2 linked regions of the Macaca fascicularis genome follow. The protein of the gene in region 2 purifies or fractionates together with the protein of the main gene of each other region. This does not show direct contact. Links are inferred from orthologs where the notes say so. Each region holds a gene or a part of one and is shown on either strand. Other genes may lie near its edges.

Region 1 (3,802 bases), on a different chromosome or scaffold from region 2:
AGTCCTTTCACCCTGTGGCTGGTGCCAGGATGGACAGAAAGGGAGTTTGGGAAGAATGACAGAGGAAGCAACCTACAGCATCTCAAGCAACTACTCTGTGTGGTGAGACAGGCATTTCTGTTGAAAGGAGGGAACTGGAAGTCAGACCATGGGGAAAGTGTACCTTGCTTGTCTCAGGACTGTCTGGGTCAAACTGGACCTGCTTGGAAGCAAGTTCACGTCCCGTGTCCACGTCATAGCACAAATAGACCCTGCCGAAGGCACCCTGGCCCAGGAGCTTTCCCCGGCGCCAATTGATGGGGGCACTGGGAGCTACAGGAGAGCAGAAGGAAAGAGTTACTTTGTGTACATTATTTATGAATATCCCCTTCATTCTCCAGGAACAGGGCCTCTGGCTCAGGCTCCCCCTCACCCAGCACCATCACATCTTCTCTTAGAAGAGCATCTCCACCACAATCTAGAGCAAGCCCAGAGCCCTAGTCACTCGGACCTGAAGTCAGAGTCTTAAGAAGCAGAGGATTGGCTGAAGTCATGATTAAATGCTCTTCTGCATTGATAAATACATTTCCTTCCAAAGCCCCTAAATATCTTAATATGGCAGGGATGAAGGGTGTCCTCTTCCCTAGTTTAAACATGGAAAAACTAAAGATCAGAGAGGAGAAGAGGCTCATCACACAACAGTGGAGCCAGGCTTCAGGCACTCCAAGGCTTATCCCGTGTGGTGCATGTGGGCCAAAGCCACCACCTGCTGAGCCTAAGGGTCCAAGGGGCCCAGCTGTTATGCCCCTGTAGCTTGTCTGAGACCGCCTTGGCAGTCTCCTCCTAGCCAGGGACAGCTCCTCACACTTGGTTGGCACATTCCTCTCCTGCACAGAGAGGGCATTCTCGCTGTCTGCACTCCGCAGGCGCCCACGGGGGTCCAGGTATTGCACAGCCAGACCCATGTTCTCGCCATTTGTGCTCAGGGAGCGGCTGGAGGGCACCAGGGTGAACAAGTTGCCTTGATGACGCCGTATTCGGGGAAATGTTCTTCTGCCTGAAAGGGTGCAAGGGCCAGAGTAGAGCAAGTCACACCCCGGGCTACAAGGCTGAATGTACAAACCAGGTCTGAGCCAGAAGTGATAGATAATACCAGCTCCAGCCCATCCTGTCTGCCCTCCCACCTGACTCATTCCACAGAGGCTGCTGTCCCAAGCACTCCAAGAATCAGGACAAAAGCAGAAACTAGGAAGTAGTCTGGTTCAGGGAGATCCGGCCAGAGGGAAGGTGCATGGCTGGCCCGCGGGCTCCCAATTGCTTGGAAGGCCAAGCCACACCCAAAGGCACCGATTTCCTTGTATCCTACTCCTTACCCCTCTGTAGAGCCCCAGGCCACCTGCTGCTGTGGGGCAGAAGAGGGCATGGGAGAGATGGTGTCCCTGGAGCACACCATTGGCTCCAACCAAGGTCAGAGTTCCCAGTGGCAGCATTCTGGTCTACAAATACTATCTTCCCTGTTTTTGTTTTTTTCCTGTCTCCCGTGCCTCAAGTCTGAGCCACAATTCCTCAGGAATGAAGGAAAATACAGGCATTGCATGGACGAGCCCACCCTCCTTATGGCGGCTCGTCCTTTCTTGAGGCAGCCAGCAGGGAGCAGGTGAAGGAGCACTCACCATCACTGTAGTCCTTGTGGTGCACAGACACATGGTAGCGGCGGGGGTAGGTTCCACCTTTGACCCCTTTGTCATAGAGCTGAGTTTCCCGATCTGAGTAAGATGGGGGAATCACTGGCTTCTGGGTAGGTCAATGTGAGCCACTTAAGCCCCCAAGCCCCCAAGTCACCTAAGACCTCAAAGCAGCAAGCCCAAGGAGAGCTACTGACTCAGAACAGTTGAAGCAGAGCCACCTGAGGCCCCACCCAGACCCCCTGCATTGCCCACCCAGGCTCTGTGAACTCACCTGAGTATTCCTGTCTATTGTCAGGGAAGCTCTGGGCACGGGACATTCGTGATTTCCGGAAGGACGGGCTGGAGAAAACAAAAAGAAAAAACGGACTCCCTGAACATTTCTACAGCAACCCAGCAGGGCATCCAGGCAGTCTCCCTTTCTAATCTTTGCCACAGCGTTAGGTGGGGGAAGCAGATTTTGCGGGAAACAGCCCTTTCCTGAGCCCAGCTCCTGCTTTCTCCACTCTCCCTTCACTAGTCTGTGACCCAAATTTGACAGCACCCTGAGTGGTAAATCTCCCCCATCTGACCCAACTCCAGCCTGGCTGCACAGCCTTCTCCCTCCTTGGCCTTTCTTCCCACCTCTGTAACAAGAAAAGAGCTCCAAGAGAATCCTTTGCCCAGGGAGTAATAAAAATAGCCACAGCATCATTGTTTATAGGTTGCTGCTTTCTTACCTATTTTCTAAAGTGAGTTTTTTCTCATTTAATCCTCAGAACGCTCTGAAGTAGCAAATATACCATATAATAAAAATAACATAATAGCAGATCCACTTGTTGAGCAGCTATGCTGTTTCTGAGTTCACAGACACCCCTACAGATTAGGTATACATAGTCCTATTTACTTGCTCAAAGACAGAGCTAGGAAGACAGGGCCAGACTTTTTTTTTTTTTTTTTTGACACCGAGTCTCGCTCTGCTGCCAGGCTGGAGTGCAGTAGCACAATCTCAGCTTACTGCAACCTCCACCTCACGGGTTCAAGCGATTCTCCTGCCTCAGTCTCCCAAGTAGCTGTGACTACAGGCACGCGCCACTGGCCAGGATGATCTCGATCTCTTGACCTTGTGATCTGCCCGCCTCGGCCTCCCAAAGTGCTGGGATTACAGGCATGAGCCACCGCACCCAGCCCCAGACTTTCTTTTTTTTTTTTTGAGATGGAGTCTCGCTCTGTCACCCAGGCTGGAGTGCAGTGGTGCAATCTTGGCTCACTGCAACCTCCGCCTCCTGGGTTCAAGTTATTCTCCTGCCTTGGCCTCCCAAGTAGCTGGGACTACAAGCACGTGCCACCATGCCCGGCTAATTTTTTTGCTTTTTTTTTGAGACAGAGTCTCACACTGTTGCCCGGGCTGGAGTGCAATGGGGCGATCTCGGTTCACTGCAACCTCTGCCTCCTGCGTTCAAGTGATTCTCCTGCCTCAGCCTCCCAAGGAGCTGGGATTACAGGCGCCCGCCACCAAGTCCAGCTATTTTTTTTATTTTTTAGTAGAGACAGGGTTTCACTATGTTGGCCAGGCTGGTCTTGAACTCCTGACCTCGTGATCCACCCACCTCGGCCTTCCAAAGTGCTGGGATTACCAGGCGTGAGCCACTGCACTTGTTTTTTTTTGTTGTTGTTGTTGTTGTTGTTTTGCATTTTTAGCAGAGATGGGGTTTCCCTATGCCTGTCAGGCTGGTCTCGAATTCCTGACCTCAGGTGATTCGCCTGCCTCGGCTTCCCAAAGTGCTGGGATTATAGGTGTGAGCCACTGTGCCTCAAGGCCAGACTTTAAATCCAGGTCTCTGACCCCAAAGTCTATGTTCTTGCTGCTAAACCAGGCATCTTTCTTTCAGCTTAATCACCACCATCCCATTTCGGAGATGGGGAAACTCAGGAACAGAGAGGTTAAAAGACTTGTCTGAAGCCATTCAACTAATATTTGGTGGAGCTGGGACTGCATCTAGGTTTGTCTGACTCCAGATCTCATGCCCCTTCCCAGATTCCATGAAGGGAAGATGAGAGCCCTGAGCCCAAGTCAGGCTGGACCTCAAGGAAGTAAGTCCAGGTCATTCACAATGAGAAGAAAAGAAAGTACTGTAGGGACAGAGGAAAAAACCCAA
Region 2 (4,255 bases):
AAGAGGCAACAGGAACGTGAGGGCAGAGACCGTCTGACCCACTCAGCCACCCAGCACTTTCATGCCAGCGTGCCACCGCACTGCCACCTCCTTTCCCACACCGTCCCATGCCCCTCAGTCCTGGCCCTCTGCGTCGCTACCCCCCACTTCCCACCTGGGTGCTTCTGGGGTTGGGTCACCTCCACCCCGAGTTTCCAGGCAGCTGGCCTCCTCCAGCTGAGTGAGGGCGTCCGGGTCTGCACATGACCAGCCCCAGCCTCCAGTGCTCACTTTCCCCTTTCACTTGCCCCACCTGGCTGCACCCTCCTCCTCCAGGGAGCAAGGCTGGGGGCAACGGGGGATCTGTAGAAGACTAAGGGCTTGGTGGGTCCCTCTCCACAGGTTCCTCCCACATGAGCCACACAGAGGGCCTGGTGAAGTCCTCGGTGCCCACCCACCGAGAAGGCCAGACCGAGACACACGCAGCCAACAGTTCTCGGCCCTCCCCACATGCCCTCCCTGATCCCGCAGGGCGTCGGTCCAGGAGATGCTGTGACACCATGGTCAAAGCAACGGGCACTGGGCTCAGACAGAGCTCGGTTCAAATTCCATTTCTGCCACTTTACAGCTGTGTACCTGCCCTCCCAGCCTCCAGTTTCTCGAAAACTGGAGTAGAGCCGGACCCTCGTCTGGAAGGAGCCAAGAGAAGATGCACCTGTCAAGAGGGAAGGCGCCCCAGACAGTAGTTCCTCTGCTGAGCAGACCATGGAGACTGAGGAAGGGGGAGAGGCCGGCCCAGGCTGTGTCGTGGTGACCAGAGTCCCATTCCTTCTGCTTCGTCCACAGCTACCACATATCCAGAGCCCTGGCAGTGCCTGAGCCAGTCCCATGCCAAGGCAGGGAGCGGCTGCATCCCAGAGCCAGGCTGCCCATGCTTCCTGGCCAGGAATCCCTTCAACCGCATCTTCCTCCTTTCCCCAAACTGCTCATTCCTTGTCCAACCAGCTGGCCGAGAGTCACACCAACCATGGGGTGCCAGGCCCTATGCGGGAGGGTGGGGACATGTGATGGCTGAACGCGAATCTGACCTGGGAGGAGCTAGGAACCTGGTGGGGGACACAGGCAGACGGAGGGGCAGGAGCCCCACCAATCGCCACTCAATCTGCCAAAGGCACTTTTCGGTGGGTGCCAAAGACCCTGAACTTTTCCATTCACTTCCAGAAATATCGTGACACTTGGCCCCAGTGGGCTACGGTGGAAGTCACTTCACTAGAGACCCTCAGGTTGAGGCATCAGGTTGGGGTGCCGACTCCTGGCCCCTCCCCTCCCTCGACCAGGCTACCCATACCACTGCTCCCCATCAGGACACGGGGCCCGGGGCTTCCACAGAGAACTATGAATGCCCAGAGCAGTGAAGTCAGGATATTCCCAATAGAGAGGCACAGGAAAGGGGTCTAGGAAGGGAGAAGCCCAAAGAGAAGGAATGAGGAAAAGGGAGGCTCCTCACGTGGCGAGGGCTAGGGGGCCTGTGTGTGCCCAGGAAGGGGTCGGAGGGGTGGTGAGAAAGGAGGGCAGACAGGCTGGGCGGCGTGAAATTCCTGAGCAAGCAAGCAGCCCTCCACCCCGAAGAGCAGGGTGGGATCCAGCAGGCCCCTCTCCTGGACTCCAGACTCAGCCCCAGCTGACCACTCTGGCCTGGCTCAAGACAACCATATCTTGACAGCTGGACCCCAGTGGGGATTAGGAGACGATGGCCTAGCCTCCCTCTCTCCTGCTTCCCCATTGAGCTCCGAAGTCTGTGGTCCACAAACTGCTAGAAAGCTCTTTACCGGACCTAGATCGGACCCGCCTCTCCAGCGCTTCCTCAACCCCAAGTCATTTGAAAGCACAATAACCCCGCCCCCACCCCCGCCATGCACTCTGTGAACCTGGTCCGGCCTCATCGACTTCGCCTCTCCACTTGCCAGGGCTTGCTGGGGTGCGTCAGGCCCCTTCTCACCCCAGGCCTTTGTACATCGGACTCCCTCTTCTTGGAACGCTCCTCCTGCACGTCCCGGGACTGGCTACTTCTCCATCAGGCCTTTGGCTAACGGTAGCGCCGCCCGCACCCCCGACCAGTACTCACTTTTTCAGCACCCTCTTTCTTTCTTTCACAGCACATACCGCCGCTCCCCACGATTTTGACTATCTCTTGTCCATCCCACCACCCTGTCTGTCTAGACCGGGAATAAGGGGGAGTTGTCTCGCAGGAGACATTTGTTATCGCAATTGAGGAAGAGCGGGTGTTTACTGGTATCTAGCGGCCAGGAGCCAGGCAGGCTGCTCCACATCCTACAATGTACAGGGCAGCCCCCCGCAGCAAAGAGCGACCCGGACCGCGTGGTCGATGGTGCGGAGGTTGGGGAACCCTGCAGCAGATGCCGATCACAGGAGAACTGGGACCGTGTTCTCCGCAGTCTCCCGGCGGCCAGAACAGTGCCTGGCACCCGGGCGGCTCGGGGAATGCAGGAAAAAGGAATGAGTAAAGAACGCGCGAGAACACGACGGAGCGAGGGACGGACAACTGACAGGCGGACGGACAGCTACGCGGACTCCGACTCCGACCCGGACCCGGACCCCGACCCCGACCGTCTCAGCCCCGCCCCCGCCCCCCCCCCCGCCCGACCCCTCGCCTCGCCTCGCCACGACCTCGACGCGCCCGATCCCGCCCCACTGCGCGGCCCCGAGGCGCGAGCTCCGGGTCGGGCGCGCCGCGGGGACACTCACCCGCCCGCGGCCGCCCGGGAGCGGCAGCACTGCCAGCCCGCTTCATGATGCCCCCTCGGCCGCCGGCCGGGAAAGGGACGGGACGCGCGAGCCGGAAGCGCTCGGCCGCTGCGCCCGCCGGGACTTGTAGTTCCCCACCTCTCGGGGCCCGGTCGGCTGCCTCACGCGCGGCATTTCCGAAACTACGACTTCCGGCGGCCTCGTCGTCGCGGGGCGGGATTGGCGGCTTCAGAATCACTCTATGTTGCAGATTGATGTCTGATTGGCTTTGCTCATCCGTCACTCACTGTTAGGCTTTACGGACTCTGCATAAGGGAGGAGCTTCGGTTCTGGGTCCGAGAGACCGCTGCCAAAAGAAATGCCACGGTACGATTGGTGGAAACAACGCGGTAGGGAGCGGGGCGTACTAGCGTCAGGGGAAGGCGGGCACTTCCGCCAGGATAGCCCAATGACAGAGGTGGGAAAGTTTCTATAAAAGCTTGAGCCTCGTGCGCCTCCTTTCTTTTGCGGTCGAGTGCGAAGCTGGCGGGTTGTGTTAATGCGTACGCCATGTGCTAAGATCCAGGGAAGAACTGGGCCACGAGCGTGGCTTTGAGGGCGGCCTGAAAGCTGCAGGCCGGCCCGGTCCCCGGGCGTCCAGCCTTGGCCTAGGCTCCACTTTGTCCCTTAGTGTTTAAACGTTTCTTCCTGAATCTCAGACCCTCAGCTACCTGCAGGTAAGACTGGGCCGGGTCTGGGTTCCCCTATTCTCCAAGCCTGTGATGAATTGCTTTGACTTCTGACACCTCGTATGAAAACTGCACGTGCAGTCTGATTATTTTGCAAGACTGAGGCTTGGGGGTGCTCACTCTTGACGGAGACGGGCTGAGAATGGAAACAAGTGTTGCCCGAAACGAGGGAGTGGGGACTTATTGTCTACGTTTTGGCGCTGTCTGACTTTCAGGTTTCGTCGCCAGCCGGCTGCAAATTTTGAACCTAAGTGAACCTCAATCCGGAGGGCCGAGCGGTAAGGTGGGCGTTGTGGCAATTGAAGTGCTTAGCAATAAAGCAAAGGTAGTGAGTTGATTCGGTTTTCTCTCAAGTGTCTTTATTTTCTTATTCTTCTGGCACCCCGGAGGTCTGGCTTATCCACAGGCAATCTTGGGAAAGTGTACAGACATGAAAACGGAACGGAAACTCGTTACCAGTGACTTTCCATCTCTTGGGATTGCCTTCGCCATTTCTGCCCGTAATTTTTTTTTTTTTTAGACAGTTTCACTCTTGTTTCCCAGGTTGAAGTGCGATGGCACAACCACCGCCTCAAGCGATTTTCCTGCCTGAGCCGCCTAAGTAACTGGGATGACAGGCGCCTACCACCATGCCTAACTAATTTTGTATTTTTAGTAGAGACGGGGTTTCTCCGTGTTAGGTTGGTCTCAAACCCCTGACCTCAGGTCATCCACCCGCCTCAGCCTTCCAAAGTGCTGGGATTGCAGGTGTGAGCCACCACACCCAGCCAAATACTGTTTTT

What was found.
Region 1: the proteins of TRAF7 (region 2) and MAP3K3 purify together in Homo sapiens (affinity purification with mass spectrometry; 5 studies listed by BioGRID and IntAct, with this or other methods). This does not show direct contact. The link is inferred for Macaca fascicularis from reciprocal best matches to the Homo sapiens genes TRAF7 and MAP3K3.

What each region holds. Positions count from the first base shown.
Region 1 is NC_088390.1:70,192,689-70,196,490, reverse strand, and holds part of MAP3K3 (mitogen-activated protein kinase kinase kinase 3), read right to left. Parts: intron 2,007-3,802; coding exon 1,939-2,006; intron 1,746-1,938; coding exon 1,653-1,745; intron 1,037-1,652; coding exon 845-1,036; intron 313-844; coding exon 164-312; intron 1-163. UniProt on the Homo sapiens protein: Component of a protein kinase signal transduction cascade. Mediates activation of the NF-kappa-B, AP1 and DDIT3 transcriptional regulators.
Region 2 is NC_088394.1:2,923,418-2,927,672, reverse strand, and holds the start of TRAF7 (E3 ubiquitin-protein ligase TRAF7), read right to left. Parts: upstream 2,830-4,255; 5' UTR 2,746-2,829; intron 2,575-2,745; exon of another isoform or gene 2,105-2,574; intron 1-2,104. UniProt on the Homo sapiens protein: E3 ubiquitin and SUMO-protein ligase that plays a role in different biological processes such as innate immunity, inflammation or apoptosis. Potentiates MAP3K3-mediated activation of JUN/AP1 and DDIT3 transcriptional regulators.